2 linked regions of the Macaca mulatta genome follow. The protein of the gene in region 1 interacts with the protein of each later gene in a biochemical or structural test. Links are inferred from orthologs where the notes say so. Each region holds a gene or a part of one and is shown in the gene's direction. Other genes may lie near its edges. The genes, in order: APBB1 and EVL.

What was found.
Region 2: the proteins of APBB1 (region 1) and EVL form a complex in vitro, tested with the Homo sapiens proteins (2 studies listed by BioGRID). The link is inferred for Macaca mulatta from reciprocal best matches to the Homo sapiens genes APBB1 and EVL.

Annotation. Positions count from the first base shown.
Region 1 is NC_133419.1:59,373,094-59,388,780, forward strand, and holds part of APBB1 (amyloid beta precursor protein binding family B member 1), read left to right. Parts: intron 1-1,123; 5' UTR 1,124-1,137; coding exon 1,138-1,858; intron 1,859-6,420; exon of another isoform or gene 6,421-7,077; coding exon of another isoform or gene 7,078-7,138; intron 7,139-8,029; exon of another isoform or gene 8,030-8,060; coding exon 8,061-8,236; intron 8,237-8,335; coding exon 8,336-8,392; intron 8,393-8,475; coding exon 8,476-8,561; intron 8,562-8,671; coding exon 8,672-8,735; intron 8,736-9,179; coding exon 9,180-9,329; intron 9,330-9,692; coding exon 9,693-9,820; intron 9,821-10,210; coding exon 10,211-10,325; intron 10,326-10,469; coding exon 10,470-10,554; intron 10,555-10,827; coding exon 10,828-10,911; intron 10,912-15,687. UniProt on the Homo sapiens protein: Transcription coregulator that can have both coactivator and corepressor functions. Adapter protein that forms a transcriptionally active complex with the gamma-secretase-derived amyloid precursor protein (APP) intracellular domain.
Region 2 is NC_133412.1:173,395,533-173,411,319, forward strand, and holds the start of EVL (ena/VASP-like protein), read left to right. Parts: upstream 1-5,302; 5' UTR 5,303-5,390; coding exon of another isoform or gene 5,391-5,401; intron 5,402-6,201; 5' UTR 6,202-6,321; coding exon 6,322-6,380; exon of another isoform or gene 6,381-6,405; intron 6,406-15,787. UniProt on the Homo sapiens protein: Ena/VASP proteins are actin-associated proteins involved in a range of processes dependent on cytoskeleton remodeling and cell polarity such as axon guidance and lamellipodial and filopodial dynamics in migrating cells.

The DNA of each region.
Region 1 (15,687 bases):
TGTGACATTTGGTCAAAGATCTGAAAGGCTGGGCCGGGCGCAGTGGTGCACGCGTGTAATCCCAGCACTTTGGGAGGCCGAGGTGGGCAGATCATGAGGTCAGAGTTTGAGATCAGCCTGACCAACATGGTGAAACCCCATCTCTACTGAAAATACCAAATTAGCTGGGCGTTGTGGTCGGCACCTGTAATCACAGCTACTCAGGAGGCTGAGGCAGGAGAATCACTTGAACCCGGGAGGCAGAGGTTGCAGTGAGCTGAGATCCTGCCATTGCACTCCAGCCTGGGTGACAAAAGCAAGACTCCATCTCAAAAACAAAAACAAACAAACAAAAACCCCAAAAAGCAAAGATCTGAAAGGCTGAAGGGCCCAGGGGAAAGGCTCCCATAGTGATCCAGGACAGGGCATTATAAGGGCTGGCAGAGGGACCGGTGCCCAAGGGGAGCTACTTCATGGAAATTGTCACCAAGATGTAGCTTCATCTGGCCAGCGGAGCCGTGAATTGCAACCGAGCACCCTCCCTCTGTGACCTGCCTTCCTGTGCCATGCCCTGTAGGGCTGGTTCTGCAGCTTATTTCCTCCTGTCCTCACAGTCCCTAGTATGGGGTGGGCTTGGGGGCTGGTTGAGCTGAGTGACTTATGGGAATAGGAACACAGCCGGAGGAGCTTACAGTGGTGGGGCTTGGGATGGAAGTGCAGCAGGAGAGGGGCAGTCAGTGATCAGTGTCCAAAACACACGAGCCAGTCCCACTCTAGTGGTGTTCCTGGCACAGTAAGCCCCGGGTGGATGAGCTGGGGGGTGGGGAGGCACAGAGAGCCATTGTGTGGAGGCCCTGCTGGTGGGATCGAGGGCGGAGCAGGCACCAGCTGTGCCATCCCAGAAAGCTCAGGGCAGGGGATATAGGGATGGGTTGAGCCTCAGACCTGGGCCTGGCCTGTGATGGGGACGATAGTGCTGGGACAGAAGATGAGCCCAGTCATTCTCATAGGATAGAGAGCCATGGGTGCTAGCCTGCTTAGTGCAGGGAGATGAGGAGGCACAGGGCGTAGCCCTGGGGCAGAAGCAGTGATGCTGCTGTTCTGGACCAGAGGCTCAACAGCATCTCCCTTCCCCACCCCACAGGAGCTGCCAAGGCCATGTCTGTTCCATCATCACTGAGCCAGTCGGCCATTAATGCCAACAGCCACGGAGGCCCCACACTGAGCCTACCCCTGCCTCTGCACGCTGCCCATAACCAGCTACTCAACGCCAAGCTGCAGGCCACAGCTGTGGGACCCAAGGACCTGCGTAGCGCCATGGGGGAGGGTGGTGGGCCTGAACCAGGCCCTGCCAATGCCAAGTGGCTAAAAGAGGGCCAGAACCAACTCCGGCGGGCCGCCACGGCCCACCGTGACCAGAACCGCAATGTGACCTTGACCTTGGCGGAGGAGGCCAGCCAGGAGCCTGAGATGGCACCCTTGGGCCCCAAAGGCCTGATACACCTGTACTCTGAGCTGGAGCTCTCAGCCCACAACGCGGCCAACCGAGGCCTACGAGGACCTGGCCTGATCATCAGCACTCAAGAGCAGGGGCCAGATGAGGGAGAGGAGAAGGCGGCAGGGGAGGCTGAGGAGGAGGAGGAGGAGGATGATGATGAAGAGGAGGAGGAGGACTTATCTTCTCCCCCAGGGCTGCCTGAGACCCTGGAGAGTGTGGAGGCCCCTCCCAGGCCCCAAGCCCTTACAGATGGCCCCCGGGAACACAGCAAGAGTGCCAGCCTGCTGTTTGGCATGCGGAACAGTGCAGCCAGTGACGAGGACTCAAGCTGGGCTACCTTATCCCAGGGCAGCCCCTCCTATGGCTCCCCAGAGGACACAGGTACCTTGTGGAGCTTGACATGGGCATGTGGGAGGGTGTGAGGGCAGAGGTTAGGCCTCTCATATAGAGGCCAGTGCCAGCCTGATGTGAGCTGAAAGCCCATGTCCTGAGGCCACAGCAGGCCATGTCCAGGCTTTCTCGTTCAGAGAGTGCTTGGACATTCTGGTAGATCTGACCATCATGCATGCCTGGATGGATAGATCTGTTCATTATGCATGCCACCATGGTTGGTAAGTGGACTAGTTTGTTTACTGGGCACTGACTAGGTAACTGGCCCTCTACTCAGCATTTTCAGGCTTTATCCTCACAGTAAAGCTGTGAGGTAAATACTATGATTATCCCCATATTACAGATAACAAAAAAGAGACCCAGAGAGGTTTAGTAGCTTTCTCAAGACCACAGACAGGCTGAGATTACAATAGAGCTGAGATCTAGACCAGGTCTGAGTCCAGGTCTGAGCTCTTGGCCCTGTGTTACACTGCCACCACAGCACAGAGCACAGTGCACTTAGGTGCACTTGGGACAGTCTGCCCCGTTTTAACAGGTCACGTCTGTGGGGAGCTGCTGTCAGGAGTAGGATATTGACTAAAAGTTAGAAAAGAAAACGCTTTGGGTAGGGGGAGGAGAGTAGATACTAGGATTCCAGGGCTTAATAATTAAATATGTCCCATTTAAATCAGCTGAGTCTCCACATTTTCTAATGTCATGTAGAGAATACAGGAAAAGCTGAGGAACAAAGGATGGAGATAATGGGCTATAGTCACAACCCTGGAGTTCTGTAGATGGGGGTCTAAGAAAGATTAGGAAAGATCCCCATCTTCACCAGGCAGCGAACACCATACCCATACCCCAAACTGTGCAATCTTTGTAGAGAACATGCAGTTCAAATGAGCCTAGGGCTGCACACCATCCCCGTTCGAAAAACTCATTCTGGACATTTTCAAACATATACAAAAGTAGAGAGAAAAGAATAATGAGCCTGATTTACCCATGACCCAGTTTTACCAATTATCAATACATAACTAATCTTGCTACCTACATGCTGTCTTCCATTCCTAGGCCCAGCGTAGGTTATTCTGAAGCAAATACTTTTATTTATAAATGTTTACAGCTGGGTGCAGTGGCTCACACCTGTAACCCAGCATATTGGAAGGCTAAAATGGTCAGATTGCTTAAGCCCAAGAGTTCAGGACCAACCTGGGCAACATGGCAAAACCCCGCCTCTATAAAAAATACAAAGAAGTTAGCTGGGAGTGGTGGCATCAGCAGCTGTGGTCTCAGCTCCTCAGGTGACTGACCTGAGAGGATCACCCGAGCCCGAGAAAGTCGAGGCTACAGTGAGCCATGGTTGTGCCACTGCACTCCAGCCTGGATGGCAGAGACCCTTTTTCAACAACAACAACAAAGTTTACTTTTGCATTTCTGAAAGATAAAACTCTTAAGAAAAACCCACCATAATATCAGTGTACCTACAGAAATTTAATAATAATCTCTTAGTATCATTAAATATCCAGTTGATATTTATGTTTTTAAAAAGGCTGGATTGAGGCTGGGCACAGTGGCTCACACCTGTAATCCCAGCACTTTGGAAGGCTCAGGTGGGCGGATTGCTTGAGCCCAGGAGTTCACAACCAGCCTGGCCAACATGGTGAAACCCCATCTCTACTAAAAATACAAAATTAGCTGGGCATGGTGGCAGGCGCCTGTAATCCCAGCTACTCGGGAGGCTGAGGCAGGAGAGTCACTTGAACATGGGAGGCGGAGGTCATGGTGAGCCGAGATTGAGCCATTACACTCCAGCCTGGGCAATAAGAGTGAGACTCCATCTCAAAAAAAAAAAAAAAAAAAAAAAAGTAGAGACAGTGTCTCACTATGTTGCCCAGGCTGGTTGTGAGCTCCTGTTCTCAAACAATCCTCCTACCTTGGCTTCCCAAAGCACGAGGCTTACAGGCGTGAGCCACCATGTCTGGCCTGATCCATCTCTTAAAGTTTCGTTTGATCAAGTTCCCCCTGTCTATTTGTTTTTTGCTTGCAGTTTTGCTTTTGTTTTTTAACTGAAGAATCATGTTGTTTGTCCTGGGTTTTCTATGGTCTGGATTTTTCAGACTCTCTCCTGTGGTGGTATTTACCATGCTCCTCTTCCCCTGGATTTCCTGTAAATTGGTAGTTAGTTCTAGAGCCTTGATCAGATTCAGATTTGAGCATTTTTGTGTTTTGCTTTTGCAAGCATATTTCATAGGTGGTATTTTAAATACTTCTACCAAAGGCAAAGTCTGATTGCCTCTCTTTTCATGATGTTAGTGGCCTTTGGCAGTCATTGCCTCAACTCCTTTTAAAAGGAACAGCCCCTCCTGCACTCCAGCTGATTACTTGTGGTATTGGGGTGAGGAAAAATGTAGTCTCAATGCAGCCAGTTAAAGGGAAACTGAAAACTAGATATTGGTGTAAAATAGCCCAATTTCTAAATGTTAACGACAAATTCTATTTTTTAAAAAGCACGGTGCAGGCCACACACAATCTATCTGAGGCTTGCATCAGTCTGCAGGTTGTAGGTTGCAAGTTTGCAAGACTAGGAGGTATGAGTCAGTGACCAGATAGAGGCCTAGTTGCTCAGTTGCCCCTGGGATGGTCACTGTAGTGGCTGCAACTATGAATAACCTATGAAGCTTCTAGGAATAGGAGGATAGTATTGCTGAAGAGCTGGGATGGGTTTGCTGGGCAGTGACCTCAGCAAGGATGTTGGAGGGGTGAGAGGATTCTCAAGGATCTTGCACTGGTGGAGACTTTGTGAATTGAGGATAGAGGTGGGGGCCAGCCCAGGAAAGGGGCCAAGTCACTGATTACTCTTTTATGACTGTGTTGCTATGACCAAGAGGGCTGCAGAGAAGGTTTGTGCTTCTGCAGAAATGAGGCTAGAATTGAGCAAAAATTATTTTCTCCTTCCTATTGTAGGATATTCATAGAGCTATGGATTGAATGCATAAATGCATGAATTCATGAATTAAATGAATGATAAATGAATAAACTTTACTACCTGTGTTGAATTCATACTCTGCTCCAGGCCTTGTCCTAAATGCTGGAAATGTATACTGTGAGGCAAAGATGTTTTTGCCCTCCTGGCCTTCACAGCCTGGTGAGGAGACAAAGAAAGAAACAGGAGGTTATGATCAGTGCGATGAGCTCTCTGGGGCTGGGGAAGTCCAGGAGGGGCCCCTGACCCTGCCTGTGAGAGTGGTGGGGGAGAGGGCAATGGGTCAGTTTTAAAGGGACCTGTATACTGATGTCTGAAGGAGAGGTAGGTGATAGCCAGGTGAAAATCGAGAGAAAGGGAGGTGGGCTGGGAGAGGACAAGGGGCGTGTCCCAAGCCAAGAGAGAGAAGGGGAGTGGCCAGAGGTAAGGCTGAGAGGCAGACAGGGGTTCATGACAACACATAAAACCTGGGGAGGAATTTGGACTTTATCCTGAGGGCAGTGCAAAACAATTAAGAGGATTAAGTTGGAAAATTACTTGATTAGTTTAGCATCTCAGAAGAATCATTTGGGCTGTAGTGTGCAGCTGAGATTGGAGGAGACCAGACAGGAAGAGAAAGACCAGTTAATGATGTTTTTGCAATGATCCAGGTAAAAAAATGCTAGTAGCCTGGGCTATGTTAGTTATGTGGGGTGGAGAGAAGGGGAGAGCATTAAGTCAATCACTGATTCCTGAGCAAGTGAGTACACCTGGCTTTGCCACTAAAGGCATTTGTGGATGAATGAATGAATGAAGGAAGGAATGATATGTGAACATTTAATATATTTTATGTGTAAGTGTCTGCATGAATCGATGCAGGAGTGAAGGTGTACGTTCTGGAATAAATGCATGTATGTGAAAGCAAAGGCCTGGGTGGGCTGTGCTTGAAGGGAGATGTGCCAAGCTCCAGAAGGGCCTCCCAGATGGCCAAGCGGGGAGAAGCTGCCCTTCCAGGACAGATCGGAAGGATGAAGCTCTCTGAAGCAGGAAGGTACAGGCTGTCAGGGATGGCAGATGGATTGGTGTGTGTCACTCAGTCAGGAGATGGTGAACTGGTCCCCAGATTCCAGAAGTGTCCAGCCCTCCTGAAGCAGACTGTGGCTGTGGAGGGCATGGAGGCCTTAGGTGTGGTGTTTCTGGAAGGTTTTAGCAGGAGAGTCCCGAGGCAATGGAGGGTCTCTGGGGAACAGCAGGTATTCCCTGAGCCTCAGTTAAGTTTCAGGTGCCTATTGAAAACCTTATTCCATAGGGTGTCAGTTAGGGGGAAGTGGGGGCGGGGAGAGGCGGTGATGGCTGCCTAGAAGGTGGATGGGCAAGAGCCACTCCTCTTTGGGTGTCTGTGGGCCCACGTCATTTGGAAGCTGAGGATGGTGAAGCACCCTGCCTGAATAACTCATCAGGTGTGCAGCCACCTTGGAGTAACCACGCCCACTTCCAGCCCTGCTGTGTCTGGTTGCCCAGCAGCTGGGGTCTTGGGACTGCCTGTCCCTTAGTGCTGCCTCTTGGACCAGTCAGGATTCCTGGTTTCCCTGGTAACGGGAAGCACGTCAGCAGTCTGGGCGCTCCCAGCCGGTCCTGGTGCTGCGGTTGCCGAGGAGACGCTGCAGCCTAGCTGGGCCCTGGCAGGTGAGGGGTGGGGGGTGGTGCTGGGAAGCCCCAAGCCCAGCCTCAAGCTTGCTGGGGCTCAGGAGCTCAAAGCCCACCCTTGGGTTCAAACGGCTGTGCAGGTTCTGGACAGGGGCAGGATCCCCAAAGGCCTTGAAACCACACCCTATTTATGCTGAGAGCTATAGGCTCTGCAGGGCCCCAGGCAGCTGGGGTATTCCTGAGGGGCCGAGTCTCCTGGTATCCCTAAGACTGGGCTTGGCTTAGGCACTGAGATAACCACTGGAGGGTGGGATGGAGGTTCAGGATTGGGGGAGGGGAGCCAGGGTGAGGAAGAAGAGGTGTGAGCAGGAGGGGCTGGGGTCTCATGAACCTCCCTTTCTCCTCCCTTCCCCACCCCCTCAAGGAGATTCCCTAGCATGGTGGTCCTGGCCCCTCCCTAGCAAGCTTCAAGCGGGGGAGGATCTTGCCTGGCAGACGCTCTGCCCTGGTGAGAAGGGGGCGGGATGAGTTTTTCTCTGCAGCCCAGCACCAGGCTGTGAGCCCCAGCTGGCTGGGCTGGAGGGGCTTTGAGGAGGGAGGGTGGAGGCGGGAGGGGCCGGGAATGAGCGCCACGTTCTCCCAGGACTTTTTCCTGGCCATCATCCTGCAGGACATTAGCCCAGGTGAGGGGCAGCACGAGGTTGGGCATCATGTGGGGTGGGGCTGACAGGGAAAGAAGAGTTAGAGGACGCATGAGCGGGTTACAGGGATGGAGTGGTGTGGCTCTGTCGGCAGACAAGGGTGTATGACACAGATGCGAGGTATGTGTGTATGTGCATGACATGTTTGCTTGCAACTGTGTGCAGCAAGGGTCAGGAAGTGAGCGTCTGTGGTGTCTGCACACATTTGGCAGGGTTTGATGTATGCCGTGTGTCTGAGTGTGGGTCCACCTGTATGTATGGTACCCACACATGTGTTAGGTGCCACTGTGGTATGGTATCTGCACACCTGTGTGGCAGGGGCTCATATGTTTAGCTGCATGTGCATGCCTCTGTGGTGTCTGCATAAGTGTATGGCTAAGGTTGGTGTGTATGTTTGCCCATGCACGTACATGTGCACCTGTGTGTGATACCTGCCATCTGTGCTGGCATTTTCTGTGTTGCATACCCTGGTGTTTGTGGCTGCACAGGTGTGTGGTAGGGCTTGTATGTGTTGTGTGTCTGTGTGTACATGTATGTGTGCAGGAGCTAAAAAGTGTTCCCCTTTGTGTTCACTGAGATAGAGATATGTATGAAAGGAGGTTAATTGGGGTCACCCAACCTTCCTTGCTCCGTTCCTTCCTCCTTCCCTGCCTTCCTCCTTTCCACAGTGTGGCCACATTAGCCACCAACAGGGCCCAGGAGGAGACCTGAGCCATGTCCCCTACTGGTGGCCCCACATGTGGTGACTCCAGACTATAGGCTCTAGGCAGAAGCAGGAATTGTGTTGTGGTATAGCTTTTCCTCCACCCCTTCTCAACCATGGGGTCTCAGAGGGGACCGGGCATAGGCACCAACTGTCTGCTCTTTAGGAAGGCTGACCCTCACCAAGCCTCCCACCTGGCAGATTCCTTCTGGAACCCTAACGCCTTCGAGACGGATTCCGACCTGCCGGCTGGATGGATGAGGGTCCAGGACACCTCAGGGACCTATTACTGGCACATCCCAACAGGGACCACCCAGTGGGAACCCCCCGGCCGGGCCTCCCCCTCACAAGGGAGCAGCCCCCAAGAGGAGTCCCAGGTGAGGCTCACAGGCCTGTTGGTTTTGGGCCAGAGGAGGGAGTATGTGCTGCTGGAGTAGGATAGGACACTCGCTCACTACTCCCTTCCCTCCTCCTAGCTCACCTGGACAGGTTTTGCTCACGGAGAAGGCTTTGAGGATGGAGAGTTTTGGAAGGTGAGTAAGGGGACCTGCTTTACCATGGGATAGCTGGAGGAGGTGCATCACTTTGATCCTGATTCCTCAATCCCCTTCCCAAGGATGAACCCAGTGATGAGGCCCCAATGGAGCTGGGACTGAAGGAACCTGAGGAGGGGACATTGACCTTCCCAGCTCAGAGCCTCAGGTGAGCTGCCAGATGCAGTGGGTTGGCAGTGGGATGGATCTGTCTGGAAGGGGCCTTGGGACAGCTCCATTTATGGGGGCCCTGTGCCAAGTATTACCATCTGCCTCCAGCCCAGAGCCATTGCCCCAAGAGGAGGAGAAGCTACCCCCACGGAATACCAACCCAGGGATAAAGGTTTGTTCAAGACTGACACCCATTCTGAGACCAGGGCCCTCTTGTGTGTAGGACAGCCCCTAATATTGTGCTCTGAGGGGTCTCAGTGCAGTCCCCCAGGTCCTGAGTTAGGAGTTCTTCCAGCCTCAGCAAAGAGCCCTGTGAGTGAGCTGGAGGCACTTCCAATTTTTAAATCAACCAGCCCAACAGACAGGTTGGGGGCCCTCGTAGTCTTGGTTCAGGTGCTTTTTTGTACTAGCCAGGGTCTCATATGACATCTCCCTCACCCTCACCACATCCCCCTCTCCCTAACCACATCCTGTTTGGGGAGCTTCTCCGTCTTAGTTCAGAACACCCTGCCTCCTGCCATACTCTGTATTCAGGAACTCTGCTGTGTCCTGTGCTGAGGGCTCTCCAGTTTTGACTCCGATCCTCTGCCTCCTGCCCCTCTTCTGTGTCTGGCAGTGTTTCGCCGTGCGATCCCTAGGCTGGGTAGAGATGACCGAGGAGGAGCTGGCCCCTGGACGCAGCAGTGTGGCAGTCAACAATTGCATCCGTCAGCTCTCTTACCACAAAAACAACCTGCATGACCCCATGTCTGGGGGCTGGGGGGAAGTAAGGACCTGAGCCAGCAGGGGTGGTACTATGAGAGAGTGTGAAGGGAATTATGAGAGATGGGAGGTCTGACCTGCCCACAAGCAGGCTGGGAAAGGGGCATATTGGCCCTCCGTAAGTGGCAGCCCTGTGGGATGGATGAGTGACCCCAGGCTAGGACCTTGCGAGATGGTAGCCTAACAACAGTGGAGTCGATGTGAGAGATGACACGTGACCTCCACTAGAGTGAGGCCTGCAGGGCGGGTGGTCTGACACCAAAGCAGGGGCCCCAGAGCTGTGGCTAACATCCCCTGAGCTGCAGGATCAGAGATCAGCTACCATCCCGGCTGGAGTCCCACTGAGTGCCTGCTTCTGGGCCTGCAGGGAAAGGATCTGCTACTACAGCTGGAGGACGAGACGCTAAAGCTAGTGGAGCCACAGAGCCAGGCACTGCTGCACGCCCAACCCATCATCAGCATCCGTGTGTGGGGCGTTGGGCGGGACAGTGGAAGGTGGGAACAGGGCCTGGGATTCCAGGGTGGGAGTTCATCCAGCGTCAGAGTCCTCCTCTCTAACTCTGTTCTTTGCCTCTCTTGTGCTGCTGGACCCAGAGAGAGGTACTATGCCTATTTTCCCCCTCCTGCACCTGGACCAGATGCCTGGAAGCACCCAAGCTTCCCTCTTCTGCCTTGCCCCTTCCAACCTGCTATGCTCCACCATTACCTTCCACCTCAGCATGCTTGCCTGTCTACCCTCCCTCCAGAAGACAGCACCTATGGGGAACCAGCTGTGGGCAGAAGCCCTGGAGGAGCTGTGACGGGCAGGGAGGACATGGGTGGGGTGGGGACCAGGCTTGGCACTGGATGGTACTGGGAGACACTGAGGTGCCCCTCCCCCAACAGGGACTTTGCCTACGTAGCTCGTGATAAGCTGACCCAGATGCTCAAGTGCCACGTGTTTCGCTGTGAGGCACCCGCCAAGAACATCGCCACCAGCCTGCATGAGATCTGCTCTAAGGCACGGCCCCCTCCACTCCCTGGACTAGCTGCCACCTTCACTCTACAAGGGTGTGGGTGGGGTTACTGAGTAGGGTGGGGGGGCCCCAGGGCAATGAGGCTCTAATAGATTCTCCCTGGCTCCTCGCCTCCCTTCCTTCCTCAGATCATGGCCGAACGGCGTAATGCCCGCTGCTTGGTGAATGGACTCTCCCTGGACCACTCTAAACTTGTGGATGTCCCTTTCCAAGGTCAGTGTCAAAACCCCTCCAGGTCCAGATCAGATTTGTTGGCAAAGGTGGGCGACTCAAGGAAAGGCATGAGCTCCTGGACAGCGCTGATAGAAAAATGAACACATGAAGACTGAATACTCCAATAAGTGGAGGGACTCCGGTTAAAGGGAGGCAAGGGACGAGATGGAAGTAGGACCTCGGCTGGGCAAGTGTCTAGCTTATGCCCTGCTGGTGGGGACTGGGGGTGAGCAAGGTCTCCCACCATGATCAACCTTCTGTTCTTTCCCATAGTGGAATTCCCAGCGCCTAAGAATGAGTTGGTCCAGAAGTTCCAAGTCTATTACCTGGGGAATGTACCTGTTGCTAAACCTGTTGGTATGTGTGTCCTTCTGTACCCAGGGGCTGCTACCTTGATCCTAAAGCTCTGCCCCTACCCTCTGCCTTCCAATACTTCTTCTACCAGACCTTCCTCATGCTTCATGTCTCCCTACCCTTTAAAATGCATCCCACCTCCCTGTACTTCTGTCCTAGCTATATTCACTGTCCTGCTTATAGCAGCAGTCAGCATGCCTTCGCTGAGCATCAGCCACGTGAGTCGTGCTGAACCAGGCACAGAGGGAAACCCCACTCCTTCATCCCATGGAAAAGCTTTGGTGGGATTGGGAGGCAGCTATTAGATGACTGGAAACACCAGACAGCAGCCTGTAGCTGGGTTAAGTGTTACAGCACGAGCTGTGGGCTGGAAGTATCAGGAGAAGGAAACAGTGAGCATAATTGTCACATATATTATTGTTGCAAATAATTTTTTTTTTTTAAAGACAAGTCTTGCTCTGTCCCCCAGGCTGGAGTGCAGTGGCATGATCTCAGCTCACTGCAACCTCCGCCTCCCGGGTTCAAGCAATTCTCCTGCCTCAGCCTCCTGAGTAGCTGGAATTACAGGCTCCCGCCACCAGGCCTGGTTAATTTTTGTATGTTTAGTGGAGATAGGGTTTCACTGTGTTGGCCAGGGCTGGTCTTGAACTCCTGACCTCAAGTGATCCGCCCACCTCGGCTTCTGAGAGTGCTGGGATTACAGACTTGAGCCACTGTGCCTGGCCTGATCTGGTTAACTCTTATATTTCAGTGCTGTCATAGTATCTGCTATTTATTTGTTCATTCACTTAACAAATACCTTTGAAGCTTACTATGTGGCAGGCCCTGGACTAGGCGCTGGGAGAACAGTGGCCACAGTCCCATTTTCATAGAGGTTATAGAAGGTTGTGGTAGAAAAAAACCAGGAATTAATAAAATAATCACACAAATTGTGAGTTATTCATTGAGAGAAAGTAGCAAGATAGAACAGAGGAATTTCATCTAGTCTGGGGTCATAAAAGACTTCCCTGTGAAAGTGACGTTTGAACTGAAATCCAAAAAATGAATAGAAGTGAATGCAGTCAAGTGGAATGGAGGTGGGGGTAGGATGGGGGAAGATCAGGATCTACAGTGGGTGGCACTTTGGCACTTCCAAGGTACTGAAAGAAAGCCAATGCAAGATGAGGCTGAGAGCCGGGCAGTGGCCAGGCTGCCAGGTCAGGGATCTCAGGGATTATGTTAATGATTTTTTCTTCATCCTAAGAGCAGCAAGGAGTTATTGAAGTCTCCAAGAGTGCACTTGCCTTAATCAGATTTGAATTTTGAAAGCTCACTTTGGCTATTTCATGGAGGGGACTGTTAGGCGGGTGGAGGTGGATGTGAGCAGCTCAGTTAGGAGGCCGTTGCAGTAGTCCTGGCCAATAATGAGGGTATCTTGGACAACAGTGGAGCTGAGGAGGAGTTCGTGGATTCCAGAGCTGTTTAGACAGGTATAGTCAACAGGCCTCGGTGATTGGTTCAGTGTGGGTGAGGGACAGAGGCATTAAGGGTGACTGCTAGGTTCCTGGCTGTTGGACCTTCTGGATAGTGGATTCTTTCTTTCAAGGTGGCAGATGTTAGAAGAGGCCAATTTGAGTGTGGAGATTGTAAGCTAACGTTTGGACATGCTGAGTTTGAGGTGCCTTTGGGGAAACTGAGAGGCAAAGTCAGGTTGGCAGCTAGATTCACAGATCTGGAGCTGAGAGGAGAGGTCTGGGCTGGAGATAGAAGTTTTGGCATTATTGGGTTGTAGAGGTAATCAAAGCCATGGATGTAGAGTAGCTTGACCCTGGAAAGTCGGCATCCTGAAGTGAGAAGGGAAATGAGGCTAGTCATAGCCTTGAGGCCCTCCAACATTCAGTGGATGGGTGGAGGATGAAACTGCCAATGATAGTGACAACAGGAGAGAGGCAGGAAGAAGAAAAGAGACTACTTGAAGAAGTGGTGGCGTATCATGTCAAAAGACACATAGGAGGAACTCAACAGATTTTTGATGAATGAATTTAAAAAATGAATTAATGAATAAATGAGACTAGCTTCAGATTACATGGCCAGGAAAGCTAGACCTAGGAGTCAAACCCCGGTCATCTTTAATTCTCTGCACTTTCCCTCATACCGTGCTGACTTTCATGTCCAAAATCTTACATTGAAAGAGGGGACCCTTCTTAGAAAAGGTGGGGATTGAACTGAGGTTTTGAAGGAAGGCTTGGATTTGCAGAGTGGAGTGGATATTTCATTTGGATTCAGTGGCACTGCCAAAGACTTGGAGCTAGAGTTGAGAAAAGCATGCTGACCCTTATGCCTTTGCTTTCCTCCTTCTCATCCTCAACTTCTAAACCCTTGTTGGCTCTTCCGGTTGTTACCCCCACTCCCATATGTGCTTCTTTGCATCTACCACTTGACTCAGGTCCTCCCTATGCCAGATCAACTGCCTGTGACCCTTGACTGCTCCATCAGCTCCACACTTTTGGACAAGTGGCCTCTAAACTTACTTCCTGCTTTATCTTATGCTCCTTTTTAACCTCCTTTTTTAACATTAGCCCCTCCAGAAGCTGTAGTATTCGTTCATTAATCATTCATTCATTCAACAAGTGGTAATGAGTGCCTGATGTGTGTCAGGCACTATTCTAGCTTCTTGCCATACATTGATGAACAAAAGTGACAAAGATCCCTGCTTTTATTTAGCTTACATTCTAGCAAGGAGAGACAGACAATAAAATGAGTAAACCATGGAGTATATTAGAAGGCAACAACTGATACAAAAAAAAATAAAAGAAAAAAGAAAAGCACACCAGGATAAGGGGGATTGCATGTGGGGCTGGAGGTCAAGGTCACGGTGTAGGTTTTAGTCCTGAGTTGCTATCAAATCTGACCGCCTTCTTCCATACCTTGCTCCACTGCTTTCACTGCTTCCCTGCCAAACCTCCTAAGACTCTGAGGCCGGGCTCCACTTCCCACAGCCCCATCTACTCAGCAGTTTGACTTTGATGTCCCTTTCACACAACTGAACTTTGAGATTTCCAGTTGCCCTGGCCTAAATGTCATAAACATCACACCCCTCTGCCTGGCTTTTGAAGCGCTCTGCAATATGACCTGGCCCATCCACTTCTGTGACACTTGGTTTTACCAGTTTGGGTGCATTTGCTCATGTTGCCTTGAGAGTGACTTGCTCATGCATCTGGAATTTCTTCAGCAGATAAGCGCTGTGTTAGAATTGGGGACAGAGGGATTAATTAAATTCCATTTCTGTTCTTGAGATGGCCAAAGCCCAGTGTGGAAAAAAGTTTGCCAGCAGTTACAAGATGTTGTGGTAAGAGTTGTCTCAGAGTTGTCTTCTCCCTGCCCTGCAGCAGGGATGGCTTCCTAGAGAACACCTAGTCGGAGCCCTGAAGGATGACAGTCTGGAGTTTCTCAGTCCAGCGGGGAAAGGGCAGTCAAGACAGAGGCTTTTCCCTCAGTTGCAGTCTGTGTCCCTCAAGGACATTCTCTTCTCTTGTTTTGTATTCCCCATCTGCCTTACAGGCCATTTGCCAAGATTGGTTGTTAATAATAATGCTACACAAATCATCTGAAGCTGAGGGAGCAGTAAAATATGAGGCTTGACAGCTCTGGAGAGGCCAGTTTTTGGAAGACTCGCATGCTTTTGGGAGCAGTTTGGCCTTGCTCCAGCCAGAAGTAAGATGAGCAAGGCCAAGATGGGAGAAGACATTCAAGGAAGACATTTGTCCTCTGCCCACAAAGAGTCCACATGGTCCGCTCCTAGTGGGAGCTGAGAGGCACTAAAAGGGGCAGAGGGCCTGGGACTGGACCACAGAGGCATATGCCTTTTGCACTGGCATTGTGCAGAGACAGTAGATCACATGGGCAGCTTATAAGTGTGGGGACTAGGACTGATGCCTTCACCACACCATGTGCTCCTGCCTTGGTGCTTTGCTGAGTGCAAGCAAAAGTGGGATCCATGAGGGGAAATGTTTAACAGCAGTTTGAGGTGGAGGAGAACATGCATTATAAGGGAAACCTGATTGATCTAAAAGTCAGGAACCTTGGGTTCCTTGGCCCTTGAGCACATTATAGACATTCTTGAGTAGAACCTAAGATCTTGAAAGCCCTTGTAGTTCTGAAAACTAGTAATATAGAGAAGAGGTAGGAGAAAGGCATGGCTAAGAACCCAGGCTCTGGAATCAGACTGCCTGAGCTCAGGTCTCCATTCCTTGATGTGACCTAAGGCATGTTGCCTATCTCTACTGTTTCCTTATTTGTAAAATGGAAATCTGTTGTGAAGTTGTTGTGCGGGCACAAATGAGGTAATACACTGTGATGACTTAGCACAGTGTGATACAGAGTAATCACTCCTCAAATAGATTATCTTAAAAAATAATTGGGTCTTGGGAGAGGACTGGCCTGTAGGGGCTGACTTGGGAGTTATTGTGGTGTGAAGCAATGTGGTGTCTGAGTGTGATGAGCGCTGAGAGAGCACAATTTGGGGAAGTCAGAACTTTGGGAGGTCAGTCGGTTCACAAGTGTGGAGGAATAGGCAGAGCCAGTGAAAATAACCAGCCTAGGATTCAAGATTTTAAAAAGTAGGAAAATGTCCAGTTACTGAGGCCAGGGGACCCAGGGAAGGGATACTTGGACAGCATTGTCCAAGATGTAGGTTGGCAAAGTGGGGATGGGGCAAAGGCCCTGGGTTTGACTGGGTGGAGCTAGAGTTCTAGGGTAGAGCTGGGGTATCCTCTCTCTACCGTCAATGGTGTCTTGTGT
Region 2 (15,787 bases), on another chromosome or scaffold:
TTAGTGGACATACAGAGTCAGAAAATGTGACATATACTTAAGGGGAAGAAAGCAGTCAGTAGACCCTGAAATGCTCCTGAAGTTGGAACAAACAGGCAAGTTCTTCAAGTTACCCATAATAAATATGTTCACAGACTTTAATAAAAGGTGGATAAAGTGAACAAACAGGAAATCCCAACAGAGAAATGGAAATTATAAAAAACTTGCCCATTGAAAATTCTACTACTGGAAATGAAATGAAAAATTTACTGGATGAGACTAAAAGTGGATCAGAGGTCCAGAAGAAAGGGTAGTGGACTTGGAGATGGATCAATAGATATCTAGTCTGAAAAATGGGAAAATATTTTAAAAAGAATTACCAGTGCCTTGTGATAATATCAGGAGGTCTACATACATGTACTTGGAGTGCCAGAGGAAGAGGAGAAAGAGAATGAGGCAGAAGAAAAATAATTGAGGAAATAATGACTAAAATTTCCCAAATTTGGTGAAAAACCTTAAATTACATACCTAAGAATCTCAATGAAACCCTAGCAAAATCAATGCAAAAAGAACCACACCTAAACCCATCACAGTCACACTGCTGAAAACGAAAGAAAAAGAAAATATTAAAAATGACCAAAGGAAAAGGGATCCATTACGTACATTGTATGTGAATGATGGCTGACTTCTCAGAAACCGTGGAGGCCAGAAGACAGTGAAACAATACCTTTAAAGTGCTGAAAGACAAAAAAACCCTCAGTATTCTCTATTCGCAAAAAGTGCTTTGAGGCTTGAAGACAAAGATGTTTTTCAGATAAAAGAAAAGTAAGAGAATTTTATTGCCAACTTACCTGTTGTACAAAAAATGCTCAAGGAGGCCGGGCACAGTAGCTCACGCCTATAATCCCAGCCCTTTGGGAGGCCGAGGTGAGCGAATCCCTTGAATCCAGGAGTTTGAGACCAGCCAGGGCAACATGGTGAAACCGTTCTCTACTAAAAATACAAAAATTAGCCAGGCATGGTGGCGCATACCTTTAGACCCAGCTACTCAGACGGCAGGAGGCAGGAGAATCATTTGAGCCTGGGAGGCAGAGGTTTCAGTGAGCCGAGATCACACCACACCAGTGTACTCCAGCTTGGGTGACAGAGCAAGACCCTGTCTCAAAAAAACAAAAAGAAATTCTAAAGGAAGTTCCTCAGGCTGAAAAAAAAAAAAAAAAAAACAAAAACAAAAACAGGAAATTCAGATGTTCAGGGATGGATAAAGATTACTGGAAAAGAGAAATATATGAGTAAACATAAAGACTTTTATTTCTTCAATACACACACACATATGTACACACACATGACTCTTGAACAATCCAGGGGTTAGGGTGCTGGCCCCTCACACAGTTAAAAATCCACCTAAAACTTGCATCCCCTAAAATTTAACTGTTAAGAGCCTATTGTTGACAGGAAGCCTTACCAATAACATAAGCAGTTGGTTAATACATACTTTGTTATTATATGTATTACACACTGTATTCTTATAATTAAGCTAGGGAAAAATTTTATTAAAATCATAAGTGAAAATATATTTTAATTAGTTTCACTAGTAATTAATTGGAAATGGATTATCTTAAAGTTCTTCATCTTTGTCATCTTCACACTGAGTAGGCTGAGGAGGAAGAGGAAAAGGAGGGGTTGGTCTTGCTGTCTCAGGTGTGGCGGAGGTAGAAGAAATTTCATGTGCAAGTGGACCTGGGTCAGGCGTGGTGGTAGCTCATGCCTGTAGTCCTAGCACTTTGGGAGGCTGAGATGGGAGGATTGCTTGAGCCCAGGAGGTTGAGGCTGCAGTGAGCTGTGATTGCACCACTATACTCTGGCCTATGCAACAGAGCGAGACCACATCTCAAAAAAAGTAGTAGTATAATGGACCTATGAAGGTCAAACCTGTGCTGTTCAAGGGTCAGCTGTATATATATATATATATATATATATATATATATATATATATATATATATGATTGTCTAAAACAAAAATATATAACATTATATTTTGAGTATGTAACACATATGACAGCTACACCATAAAGGGTGGGAGTGGAGAATGAAATTAAGCAATTATGAAGTTCTTAACATTTTACTGAAGTGGTACAATATTAACTCAGTGTACTTTATAAAGTTAAGAATGTATATTGTAATCCCTAGAAAGACCTGTAAAAAAATAGAGGTATAGCTAAAAAGTCAACAGAGAAATTCAGATGAAATTCTGAAAAGTATTTAGTTTACCCACAAGAATACAGGAAACGAAGAACAGAGGAACCAGAAACAGACGAGACAAACAGAAAACAAATAGCAAAGTAGTAGACCTATATCCATCTGTATCAATAAGCTAAATGTAAATAAACTAAATACCCCAATTAAAAGATAGAAATTGTCAGACTGGGTGAAAATGCAAGACTCAATCATACACTATCTATAGGACAAAGATACAAATCAACTGAAGGTGAAAGGATGTGTAGTAGGCAGAGTAATGCCATCACCCTGCCCTAATCCCTAGAACCTGTGACTCTGTGACTTTACATGGGATGGGCATGGTAGCTCATGCCTGTAATCCTAGCACTTTGGGGGCCAAGGCAGGAGGATCACTTGAGACCAGGAGTTTGAGACCAGCCTCAGAAACATAGCAAGACCCCATCTCTATTTAAAAAAATGTTTTTAAATTAGCCAGGCATGGTGGTGTGTGCCTATAGTCCTAACTACTCAGGAAGCTGAGATAGGAGGGTCACTTGAGCCAGGAGTTTGAGGCTGCAGTGAACTATGATCACACCCCACTGCATTCCAGCCTGGGTGACAGCGATAGACCCTGTCTCTAAAAAAGTAAATAAATAAAATATTACCTTACGTGGCAAAAACGACTCTGGAGATGTGATTAAAGTTGTGGACCTTGAGATGGAGTGGTTATCTTGGATTATCCATTGGGTCCAGTCTAGTCACATGAGTCCTTAAAAGTAGAGAACCTGTCCACACCGTGGTCAGAAAGACATGTCGCTGTGGAAGAAGGGTCGGAGCAATGCTGCGTGCTTTGAAAGCGGACAGAGGGGCTATGAGAAAGCAATGCAGGCAGTGTCTAGAAGCTGAGAAAGGTGAGCAAGAGAGACCCATGTGGGACTTCTGATGATGTTGGGCTTCTTACCTCCTATGATCTTACAAAACTCTTAAGATAGTAAGTGTGTGTGTTATAAGCCACTCAGTTTGTGGTAATTTGTTACAGCAGTGCAGAAAACCAATGTGGCATGGAAAAATGTACCTAATAAGAGCTTCAAAACCCATGAAATAAAGAGTGACAGAATTAAAGAGGGAAATCCAGTCACAGTTGGAGATTTCAGGACCTTTCCCTCAGCAGTTGATAGAATAATTAGACAAAAACAAACAACAGCAACAAAAAGTAACAAGGACATAGACGTTCTGAACAGTACTATTAACCACCATGACCTAATTGACATTTTAGAACACTGCACCCGACCAGTTTCAGAATACACATTCTTTCCTTGTGCGTATGCTGCATCCGCCAAGGTAGACTGCATGCTGGGCCATAACGCACATTTTGATAAATGTGAAAGGATTGAGATCATACCAGGAAAAACAAAGGAAGAAGTCACACCAAATATGTTCTCTGAGCCCAGTAGAATTAAATTGGAAATAAGTAGCGACACATATAGGAAAACACCAAATATTTCAAAATTTAACAAAGCACTTATCAATAATCTATGGATAAAAGAAGAAATCACTAGAGAAAATTAAAAATATTTTGAACCAAAAGAAAAAAGAAAACTGCAATACATCCAAATTGTGGTTTGCAACTAAAACAGTGCTTAAAGGGAAATGTATATCATTAAAAGCCTCTTAAAAATGCATTTTTAGCATTCAAAGTGCATTCATCTCTGCAATTAGAACTGATACTTCTTTTGTACTGTACTCTGTACAACTATTTTTCACTATATCAATATTTTAATGGATCTATTAAATATTTGCTAACATTATCAAGCCATGGCCACAAGGTGAGTACTGGAACCAATACAGGGAACAGAGGGATGTCAAGAGGAAACCTAGAACCTTAATGGTGAATGGGCTATAGAAATCATCTCAGGTCCCCTTAGTATACTGATCGAGAAATCCATGACCAGAGGGCAGAATTCTTCTTTCCTAAGCCATAAAAGTCCTTTAAGGACCAGTACGGTCGTTCTGAATTTTTTGTCTGTGATTTCTAACACAGTGCATGCTTCTTAGTGAGTTCTCAGTAGATTTTGAAAGAAAGATTGAACTGGATTTTATCTTCATGAGAACCCTGTTGGAGATAGGCAAAGTAAGTATAACTAACCCCATTTTACAGTTGAGGCCACCCATTTAATGAACAAGTGACAAAGCCAAGTTCTCAGTGTTCCTCAAATGTTTTCCTTTCAGGCTCTAAATTGCTGACTTAAATGTCCTCATTAGAGAGAGCTGTCTGCTCGGTAGAAGTACAAATTTTGTTCCAGAGTCAAATATTAAGACTTGATCGGCGGCCTGGCATGGTGGCTCATGCCTGTAATCCCAGCACTTTGGGAAGCCGAGGCAGGCGGATCACCTGAGGTCGGGAGTTTGAGACCAGCCTGACCAACATGGAGAAACCCTGTCTCTACTAAAAACACAAAATTACCTGGGCATGGTGGCACATGCCTATAATCCCAGCTACTCAGGAGGCTGAGGCAGGAGAATCGCTTGAACCTTGGAGGCGGTGGTTGCGGTGAGCCAAGATCGTGCCATTGCACTCCAGCCTGGGCGATGGGAGTGAAATTCTGTCTCAAAAAAAAAAGATCAGCTTATAGTCTTTATCATCTAGTCTTCTATTCTCTGGAGAGTCAGCGGGGACTCTTGCGAGTTCTTGTAGCCTTTTCTTAAGGCCTATAGGAAGTCGTCTGTGCTGAGCCTGCACTTTCTATAACAGATGGAAAACCGAGGCCCAGACCTCTTAAATGGCATTGACTTAGACAGACTATAGAGCTAGTTCGTCGGGGGCCAGCACCACGACCTGGCCCCTACCTCCAGCAGGCATCACCCACCCTTGCACCCTTGCAGGAAGTGCTTAGAGGCTTGAGGTTGCCAGCCGTGGAGGTGTCAGGCCTGTGAAGTGCCTCTCAGCCACCCACGCTGGTAGGGCTCTGCACTGCTAGCTTCTTGTTTCTCTATTTTCTACCTAGGTTTCAGTTTTTCACTTGGGTTTGTTTCCCCTTTGTCTCTGGTTCAGCTTCCTTTTCCTGTTTGGTTTTAAGTAGTCTATAAAAATCAAGTTGCTGTCTTCAGAGAGTCTGTGGTCCTCTGATCAGCATAGCCCAGTGGGAGTACCGGACTCACCTCCTCAGGGTTCCCTGTGCTGCCACTTTTCAGCCATGGCCACAAGGTGAGTACTGAAACCAATACAGGGAACAGAGGGATGTCAAGAGGAAACCTAGAATCTTACTGGTGAATGGGCTGTGGAAATCATCTCATGACCCCTCAGTATACTGATCAAGAAATCCATGACCAGAGGGCAGGGGACTTACATGAGGTTACACAGCACGTTGGTGACAATCTGCTCACTCTCCAGCCGCTGGTCTTTCCATTACACAGGCCTGTGTCTCTTGATGCCTGTGACCCTTAATGGCTTCTGGATGAAGGATTTACTCAGAAATTAGCCCCTACCTCAGATTATAGGGAGGAGGGTCTGAGCCATCTAGGGGATTGTTGTTTAGCTCAGAGGTACATTTTGATGAGTCCTGGCTCTTCTCTCTAGAATGACCTGAGACTGGTTGTTTTATCTAAATATAGACAGAGAGAGTTATTTTTATTATAGGAACTTCATGAACTTAATAGCAAGAATCCTGACCCTCCACTTGTGAGACTTGTGACCTTAGGCTGTTGCTGTTTAGCACATGTGTGAGTGCCAGCCAGTCTACAAACTGCACTCCTCATTGAGATTGTTCTTTCTAAAGGGGAGATTACATGTTGGACCTGCCTCTCCCCTGCCATACAACTCTGAAAGATTATAGATGATAGGACAGACAGACTTTTAACCTGTGGGGTTTGGGGCATTTGTTTGGTTGACTCATGACAGCTTTGTTTTTTAGCATAAAGTAATGGTCCCTCACTTTGAAAATTATTTCACAATTTTCAAAGTGCCATTTCACCAGTTTTCTTATTTGAATCTTTTAATCGTGTTAGATCGATGAGAACGCCGTCATCACTCCTGTTTCATAGCTGAGAAAACCTCTGAAAAGTTGTGGGGCTTGTCCGAGGTCACATGGCAGGTGGAGGAAGGAATGGAACCAGGGTTTAACAAGGATGGCCTCGTCCGGTGGTTTTCGCAGCACGCTACACAGGCTCTTGAGAAGCAGTTTGCAGTGAGTTGTTAAAATTGACATGGTGGTAGGTAGAACTTGTCCAGGGCTGCTTATTTTCCAGTGGGCTTTATTTCTGCTCCTATCATTTTAGTAACTTTCTTTTAACTTTAGAGGACTTGTGAATGGAACTTCTGAAAACAGAATACTTTTCATTTCAAAGGCATATCAACTTCCAAAGTCATTTTTAGTTGTAAATTACATTGTGAAAAATTCCAGCAGCTTATTCTACCCTGCCAATTACTAATTGCAGAAAATTATATCAGAAGTAAATGGGGAGGAGGCACATCAATCTCTTTTTCAGTTTTAAAATCGTAGAAATCTAGAAGTTTCCATCTTGAAAAGACCTTGGAGATGATCTACAGTAGTTTACCTAGGTTAGTGGTGCTTTGGGCATCTTATCCTCTACTTCAGCCAAAATAACTCTACTTTTGTCTTTTTTTTTTTTTTTTTTTTGAGATGGAGTCTCACTCTGTCACCCAGGCTGGAGTGCAGTGGCCGGATCTCAGCTCACTGCAAGCTCCGCCTCCCGGGTTCACACCATTCTCCGGCCTCAGCCTCCCGAGTAGCTGGGACTACAGGCGCCCGCCGCCTCGCCCAGCTAGTTTTTTGCATTTTTTAGTAGAGACGGGGTTTCACCGTGGTAGCCAGGATGGTCTCGATCTCCTGCCCTCGTGATCTGCCCGTCTCGGCCTCCCAAAGTGCTGGGATTACAGGCTTGAGTACTTTTGTCTTTTTAATGTATTCCTTGATAATTAATTGAGGGAAAAAAAGTCATATTGTTGGTGGTGGTGATGATTTTCAAGTCTGAAGATTACACTAATCTAGTCCAGCTCCTGAGTGCACAGATCAGGAAATTGAGGCCCAGTGTGGAGCAGAGTTTGTCTACGGGGAGCAGAGTAGTGGCTGAACCAAAGCAAAAGCCCAGGTTTTCTGGAGCATCCCTTCCCCGTACAAGGCTGCTTGTACTCTGCCACAGGTCCCTGGCCTGGCCCCGTAGTGACAGTCCTGGTGGAAGCAGCGTTCATGGAGCTGCAAGGTCAGCAGCCATAGGAGCTGTGAACTTTTTGTTTTTCCTCATGCTGACTGACATATGGGGATACCACGGCGCCTGTGGTGGGGATACAAAGGGCCTTTTTAATGTGCAAATATATCTTACTAGCTCTAGCTCTGACTACTCACCAATCAAGAAACGTTTTCCAAGCCCTAACTGGATTAGGAGCTAGGAATTTTCTTGAGTGCATGACAACGTACAGAATGCTTTCACTGACATTATTTTATTTAATTACTGCAATAATCCTGAAGGTAGCATTGTGGGGTGTTTTTGTTTTTGTATTTTTTAGAGATGAGGTCTTGCCATATTGCCCAGGCTGGCCTCAAACTCCCAAGCTCGAGCAAGCCTCCTGCCTCAGTGGGACTACAGGTGTGGGCCACCACACCCAGCTAGCATTGTTTTTATTGTTTCTGTTTCATAGAAGGAGAGAGTAACTTGACAAGAGACATAGCCAGTGAGTGATAGACCCAGGACTTGAACCTGTGCCTCCTGACCACAGATGCTTTGCCCTTTTGCTCTTACGCCTGAGTTGGAGCGGCCTCTGTCTTCAGGGACTGGTCGGGAGTGAGGAAGGCAGCACTCACAGAAATGAGGAGGCGACTCGCTGTAAGGACCCTGTAGCATAGACAGTAATAAGCATAAACAGGAGGGGCAGTAAGAGTTGAGAAGTTGGGGACTGTCAGGGAAGACCTTAAAGAGAAAGTGGGATCTCAGGTGAACTTTGAAGGATAGGAATGATTTTTTAGAAGGCACTGGCAGGCGTCGCAGGCAGCCAGTCACCCAGTGGCTGCTCTGGGTGCTAGGGACACAATGGTAAACAAGACAGGCAGGCTTGTCCTCCAACTGAGGGCAGAGTAGGGAGGCAGAATATAGTCAAGAAACCATCAATAGAGATGTGAAAACAGTGGAGCAGCGTGGTAGAGAATGACGGGGCCACTGCCTTAGCCAGTGCCCTCTATGGGGACATGAGGCAGCCATGTAAAATCTGAAGACTTTGGGGTGGAAGGGGCAGCAGGTATCCTCAGATGGGGACGAGGCCCTGAAATAGGAACAGTTTGTTGGGTTCAAAGGTCAAGAAAAATACAGAGGCTGGAGCAACATGAAGAAGGAAGAGTGAAGGCAAATAAGGGCCCAGGCTTTATCAGGCCCTACGGCAAAGCCTGCGAGCTGTGCTGAATTTAGCGCATATGTCAGAATTTAGTTAGGGGAAGCCTTTGGAGGAAGGGTTCGAAGCAAAGGGAAAGACATCCAACAGACGCTTAAGAAAATCGCTCTGGCACCTGTGTGGATAATGGCTGGCAGTGTGGCAAGAATAGAAGCAGGAAGACCTCTTGGGAGGCTACCACAGTCATCCGGGTAAGAGATGAGGGTGATTTGGGCCAGCAGTGGAGCAGTCAGGGTAGCTGGTGAGAAGTCACCAGATTTAGGAAGTGCCGTGGTGCTGTAGCCTCCAGGACTATCTGGTGGATCACATGTGGGTGTGGGGGAAACATGAGTCAGACATGTCTTAGGTGGGTGGTGATTCCTTTCACCATGCTGGGGCAGCTGGGGTGCTAGCTGGAAGAATCTGTAGAGGTGTGGGCCTAGCAGAACAGGTTCCCAGGAAATGTGGGTTGAACAAGGCTGACCTGAGCAGGAACTAGCTGAGATCGCGGTGCAGCAGCAGGAAATGTGATATGGATGTGTGATATGTCTGCCACTTTTGGGGCCAGCCAGTTAATTTCATTTCCTTCACTGGTCTCTCTGTTGTCCTTGGTAGGCTGTGGGTTTTTTCTAAAGCATGTACTATCTTCTAACATATTATAGAAGGTATTTGTTTTACTGTGTACTGTCTGTCTTTACCCCTCTAGAATGTAAACTCCCAGAAGGCAGGGATTTTTGCCTGTTTTGTTCACTGGTGTATTCCCAATGCCTAAAACATTGCCTGGCAGTACACATTTATTGAACTGCTGGATTTAATTAACTACTTCGATATATGGTCCTGGAGATTCCTGTGCTACCAAAGCTGCTACTCGGTGGAGCTTCCTGGTGTGGCATGTTAGAGAAGAGACCAGACAAACAGACATTTCACTTGCTGTCAGGTAGTGAAGGAACTGTGGCTGCCTGGGCACAATCATTACTGTTTATTCCACTGTGCTGCACATCTTGAAGCTGTAAAGATGTAAGAAGTCTCGCACAGCCAGGGTTCACCTTACAATCCTTCCCACCCAGTTGTACGCCTTTGTGTCAGGGTTTGGAGGAGTCTCCAGGAACACCTAGTGTTTCCAGTCCTCACAGGCAAATGAGAGAGTCCCAGAGGCAATTGAACAAGCCCTCAGAGATCACGTGGTCTGTTCACTCTCCATGGGAACACACACTTCCCTAAAGACCTGTAGCCAAATCATTTGGAGAGCTTCTGATGCTTCTCTGCCTTCCTCTGTCTCAAAGAATCCCATGTGCCTCTAGTTGGGAAACATTCCTCTAGAGATTCTAGGTTATTCTCATTAGAGTGTTAAGATACTCAGGTGGGCTGGGGCAGAAAATGGATGAGAACTAGTCTAGTCCAATGGCTTCACTTTGGTAACTGAACCCACAGAAGAGGAAAATAACAGCTCAGCTTTTCTGAGTGTTATAAACCAATCATTATGCTAGTTACATGATATACATACTATTTAATTCTCACCCTTTGAGGTTTTGTATCACTATTCCCACTTTACAGATAAGAAAACAAGGGTTGACCAGGCATTGTGGCTCACACCTATAATCCCAGCACTTTGAGAGGCCAACGCAGGAGGATCGCCTGAGCTCAGGAGTTCAAGACCAGCCTCAGTATCGTAGTGATCTACAAAAAAAAAAAAAAAAAGAAAAAAAAAATGAAAATTAGCCAGGTGTGGTAGTGCATGCCTGAAGCCTATAGTCCCAACTTCTCAGGAGGCTGAGGTGGGAGGATTGCTTGAGCCCAGCAGTTCAAGCCTGCAGTGAGCTATGATCACACTACTGCACTCCAGCCTGTGACAGAGCAAGACCCTACCTCAAAAAGAAAAGAAAACAAGGGCCTACAAAGTAACGTATTCCAGGTCACATTGTTGTCACTTGGCAGAGCTTTTGATCTCTGAGAGGATCAAAATCTGCGCTCTCAACTTTAACTTCTCAAAGCTAAACTCGTCTCAGTTTGCAGAGTCAAGGCTAGAATCGAGGCCCTCCTGATCTCTATTTTGCAGTCTCCATCATTCTGCGCTGTTAATACCACAGGAGACAAAAGAGACCTCGTCCGTCCTGTAGCACCCCGTGCCTGCGTGCATATCTCTTGTCGATGCTCTGTCGGCTCAGGATCTCTCCTACCAGCCTAGAGCTCTTTCAGAGCAGGACGCTTGTGTTATGCATTCATGTTTGTCTCTGTGCCTAGTAAATAACACGGAGTCCAAGTGGCTGCTCTGTCGTCTGGGGTGTTTGTAAGGGCAGAGCCAGGGTCTTCGTTCCCAGGCTGTTAATTCATCCTTGGAGCTGGACATACTGTCCCAATCCTTGGCCCAAGCCAGGCCTCTACTGTTGTCCCAAGGCTGTGCTAAAACCTCTTCTACTTCACAAGTGATCAGAGTCACAGACTCTGGGGACACAAATTTTGGGATGAAGACACAGAGCAACCTATATAAATGTTTCTGAGGTTTGAGTAGCCTTAACGTCCACGTGACTGTCAGATGCTCCCCAAAGAAAGGGCTACGTCGGTGACCTTGAAAGAGTGTGGGAGATGCGTCTGAGACAGGGGCAGTCTAGGAATATCAGACTCCCCAGCAGTTGGTTGGAGTGTTTTTCCAGATTGCACCAGACTTCACAGAGAAATGGAGACCCGCTGTTCAGGCATCTCTTGAGAGGGTGGCATCCAAGGAGAAAAGGCAAACATCTTGATTGCCCGCGACGTGGGCAACCAATTTGGACAGAAAAGAAGGTGTCAGGGTTTAACACTGAATGTAGACTTTATTTACCCAAAGCCTTTCTTTAATTCTAACACTCTCAAAAATGGGGCTCAGTCACCATTTGGGTTTCCCATGTTAATACACAGAGAGCGAATTCATTGTCTTTCATTGCTGTAATGCAGCAGTTCTCAAAACGTACTCCAGACGTTGACCCTCCAAGGAGTCTGTAGGTCAGAACTATATTTATAATATTACTAAGACATCATTTGCCATTTCAGCTCTTGTCTCATGAATGCATGGTGGAATTTTCCAGAGCTATGTGATGTTTTGACATCATCACTGTGGCAGCTAATGAAATGTCTGCTTGTATATTCTTGTGTTTTAAAAAAGTATTAGTTTTAATTTCAAATAAGGTGAATATGGATAGACTTAACCTATATAAAACAGAAGCTTTTTGGCATCCTCAATAATTGAGTGTAAAAGGGTTCTCTGACCAAAAAAGTTTGAGAACCATGTATGTAAAATAGTCAGTTGTATGGCTGTACTGCAGACAGCATGCATGGAATTGAAAACACCACCTGCAAGGTGGCAGTTCCCCCTGGTCCAGAGGAGGAGCTCTGGGTCTGGGAGGAGGATGCAGGCGTCACTAAAGGCGAACTAAACAGCTTTAGGACTTGCTGTCAGATTTCCTAGACTGCGTGGTGGGACCGTGGGAACTTACTTCTCACAGGCCTGAAATACTTCACAATAAACATTTTAAGTCTACTTCATAACATGAAACCTGTTTCACATCTGTGCCCATTAAGAAAAAAATGGCACCCTATAAGTGAGTTAATAATTACCAAGGGGAAAATATAGCTTTCCATTGGAGATCTGGCAGTCACCTCTTAATCAACCTACAGTCTACTTTTAGTTGGCCTGAATTCTTCACACACACAACATCTTTGTCAATGAAAAAATTTTAAATAGTTTCACATTCTAGCTTAGCTTGAAAGAGAGTAAGCAGACGGCTCAACCAAATGTAATCCATGAGCAGATCCTGCATCCCAAAAAAATCTAACATTTTGTAAAAATTGGGTAACTTTTTGTTGTTGTTGTTGAGTCGGAGTCTCCCTCTGTTGCCCAGGCTGGAGTGCATTGGAGCTATCTCCGCTCATTGCAACCTACACCTCTCTATGCCTCCCGGGTTCAAGCAGTTCTCCTGCCTCAGCCTCCCGAGTAGCTGGGACTACAGGCGTTTGCCACTACACCCACCTAATTTTTGTATTTTTAGTAGAGACGGGGTTTCACCATATTGGCCAGGCTGATCTCGAACTCTTGACCTCAGGTGATCCACCCACCTGGGCCTCCCAAAGTTTTGGGATTACATGGGTAACTTTTAATAGGACTCTGTATTAGATTTTTAGTAAATTGTTGATTTTCTTTGTTGTGACAATGGTATTTACGTTATATATTAGAATATCCTTATTTTAAAGAAATGTATGCTAAAGTCCCTAGGATTGAAGTATCATGATAGCTGCAGCTGACTTTCAGATGGCTCAGGGGAAAGGCAGAGATAACTCATATGCGGCAAATGTTAACCACGGGCATGTTTAGTGAAAGGTACAAGAGTGTCCCTTGTATATTCCTGTAGGTTTGAAATTTTTCAGAGTAAAAAGGTGGAGTGAAAAACAGCTTCAAAATAGTAAAAGCTGGATTCGGGTTTTGCTGCGTCGCCAAGTGGAGCAGAAAAGCCTTACTGCGCGACAGAACGTCAGGTTGCTGTCTAGTCCAGGCTCTGCCGTGGATCAGCCATGGGTGTCGGGCAAGTTACTTCCTTCTCTAGGCCTGTTTCCTAAGAAAATCACTGCAGAATGTTTTTCAGCTCTGATGAGACTGTGATTCCAAGCGTCTCTGTTTCTCAGTCCCTGAATTGGGACATGGCAACGTGGGTGTGCTTCCTCATTCCCCTGGGTAGGTGTTGAGAAGTGATGAGGCCCCAGGGTGATGACTGAGGTCCCCCCACCCACCACTCTGCCTTTGCTGACACTCTTCCCTCTGCTTGAAATGGTTCCTTGTTTCCTTTTGAAAAGTCTTGCTTCCCCTTCATGACAGCATCCCTTGGGTCCCTCAGGCAGAGCTAAATGCCCTCCTCTTGTGACACTTTGCACGTACAGCACTTTTTCTTTTTTCTATTCTTTTTTTTTTTTTTTTTTTTTTTGGAGACAGGGTCTTGCTCTGTCACCCAGGATGGAGTGCAGTGATGCAGACACGGTTCGCTGCAACCTTAACCTCCTCAGCTCAAGGGATCCTCCTTCTACCTCAGCCTTCTGAGCAGCTGGGGCTGCAGGCACCCACCACCATGCCTGGCTAACTTTTTTTATTTTGTGTAGAGACAGGATCTGTGTTGCCCAGGCTGGTCTCGAACTCCTGGGCTCAAACTGTCCTCCCACCTTGGCCTCCCAAAGTGCTGGGATTTCAGGTGTGAGCCACTGTGCCCAGCCCTTGTTTTATTTTTCAAATAAATGCAGGAAAAAAGAAAGAGAAAGCAGAGGTGGCCAGATCTCAAGTGAGTCGTGCCACCCCCACCACAAAAATCCTTGCAGGCTGAGAAACACGATACCTGGCAAAACTCAGCAAACATAAAAGCCAGCAGTTATTGAAAGGCATTTGTTGAGCAATCACTAGGTCCCAGTTACTAGAGCTACGGAGATGAACACTACTTTAAAAACCAAACCAAACAGCCTGCCTCATGGAGGCGCTTGCCCCTCAGTTCAGTGGCAAGTGTATGGTAAGTGTTCTGCAGAGAAGCTAAGCAGCTGAGGCGAGCGGGCAGGGGCCCAGGGTGGGCATTAGCATTCTCTTCAGTGTGGTTCAGGGAGTCTTCCCTGGGGGCAGTAGTGGGGATGGAGGGCAGTGTGAGTAGAGGCTAGAGGAAAGCACAGGAGCAAATCAGGGCCCAGAAACTGTGATTTCCTAACAGCAGGGCTCAGGAGTGGGCCCTCAGTGACCTCCACAGTGGATCTGGGCCATTCCACAAAGACAGAACCTGACAGCCTGGTCCCACTTGGTGAGGCCTGAGGCAATTCCCCAGGCCACAGTGAGGAACCTGCCACCTTGTTTTTCTCCTTAGAAGTTAAAAGACTACGTGATAATGACAGCTCTCCATGTGGACACGGAAGGCAGTTTCATGCGGATTCCACCCGAAGTCCTGCCTCATATGGATTTGCTGTTTATTCAACCAGCATTGTCCTTGTTCAAGATGGTATCTGCTGGGTGCTAATCATGTTTAGTAAACTGCTCTCCTGTTTATTTCATCAGCCTTATTTGATCTCCAGCAAATGCAAAAGAAAGTCCAAAAAGATGATTCTCCTCGTCTTACCGAGCTGTCAACTTACCTCCCTGAAGTCTTGTTGCTGGCAAGCGACAGAGCCAGACGTGGGGCAGAGCTGGAGCTGTTGTCCAGAGTGTTCTCACTTCCCCACACTGACTCCATGGTGAGGGCTGGCCTTAACTCTCTGTGGCCAGCCTTGCTTCCCAGCACAACACTGCTTCCTGGTGGGCACCAGCCAGCCAGACTTTCTGTGTAGTACTCTTTCTCTCTGCCCCTCTCCACCTTGGGAAAGACAGTGGTCAGAAAAGGGGCAGTCCAGAGAAGAGCCAAGCTATGCGGTGTCATGGGAGCCAATGGAGAAGTTTCACACAGGAGGCAAGGAGGGCAAGGAGGGCAAGTCTGTGGCAAAAGTAGAATGGTGAGGCTGGGGCAGGCTGAGAGGAGACAGGGCGGGGCTGCCTGTGGGCAGAGGGGAGTTCATAGCGTGAGAGAGTTCCCCGAGAGCTGGAAGGAGAGGCCTCCGGATGGCAGGAGACAGGGTCCTGTCCAGCAGTGTCTCTGACTTGACTCCGTGTGTGACTTGGGGGAAGCACACAATGTGAAGTGGGAATAAATGTGATAATGACCTTGTGACAGTGGTTTGAGCATTGTGTGAAGTCAGTGTAGATGTCACCTGTGTTACCAGAGCCAAGCTGCATGCCTGCAGGGGGTCTACTGAACTAGCAAGTGATGTGCTTCAGAGAGAGACTGGAATTTGGCACAGGAGAAGGCCCCTGTCTCCTCCTCTGTGCTGGGCCTTGTCTTGGGGCTCTGGCTAGACCCCAGCTCTGCTCTGCGCTGGAGTGCCCAGACAGGTTTGTATAAACCCCTCAGTGTGGGCTGCTCTGCTTCCATCCAGGAGGCTCCTTACTGATGGTTCTCGGTCCAGCTTTTAAGATTCACTTTTGTTGCTTGTATGTTGAAGGTAAACAAGTCAGGACTTTACAAACTGCCTCAGTCTGGCTGTGTTTCTGTTTAGCTTTGGGAACATGTATTTATGGCTACTTCTCTCTAGCCCCCCACCCTTCAGTACTCACCCCTTACTAATGCACTTGGCAGCTGCAGAGCCCAGGCCAGAGGCACCAGGCTATGCTGAGGACGATGGCTCACT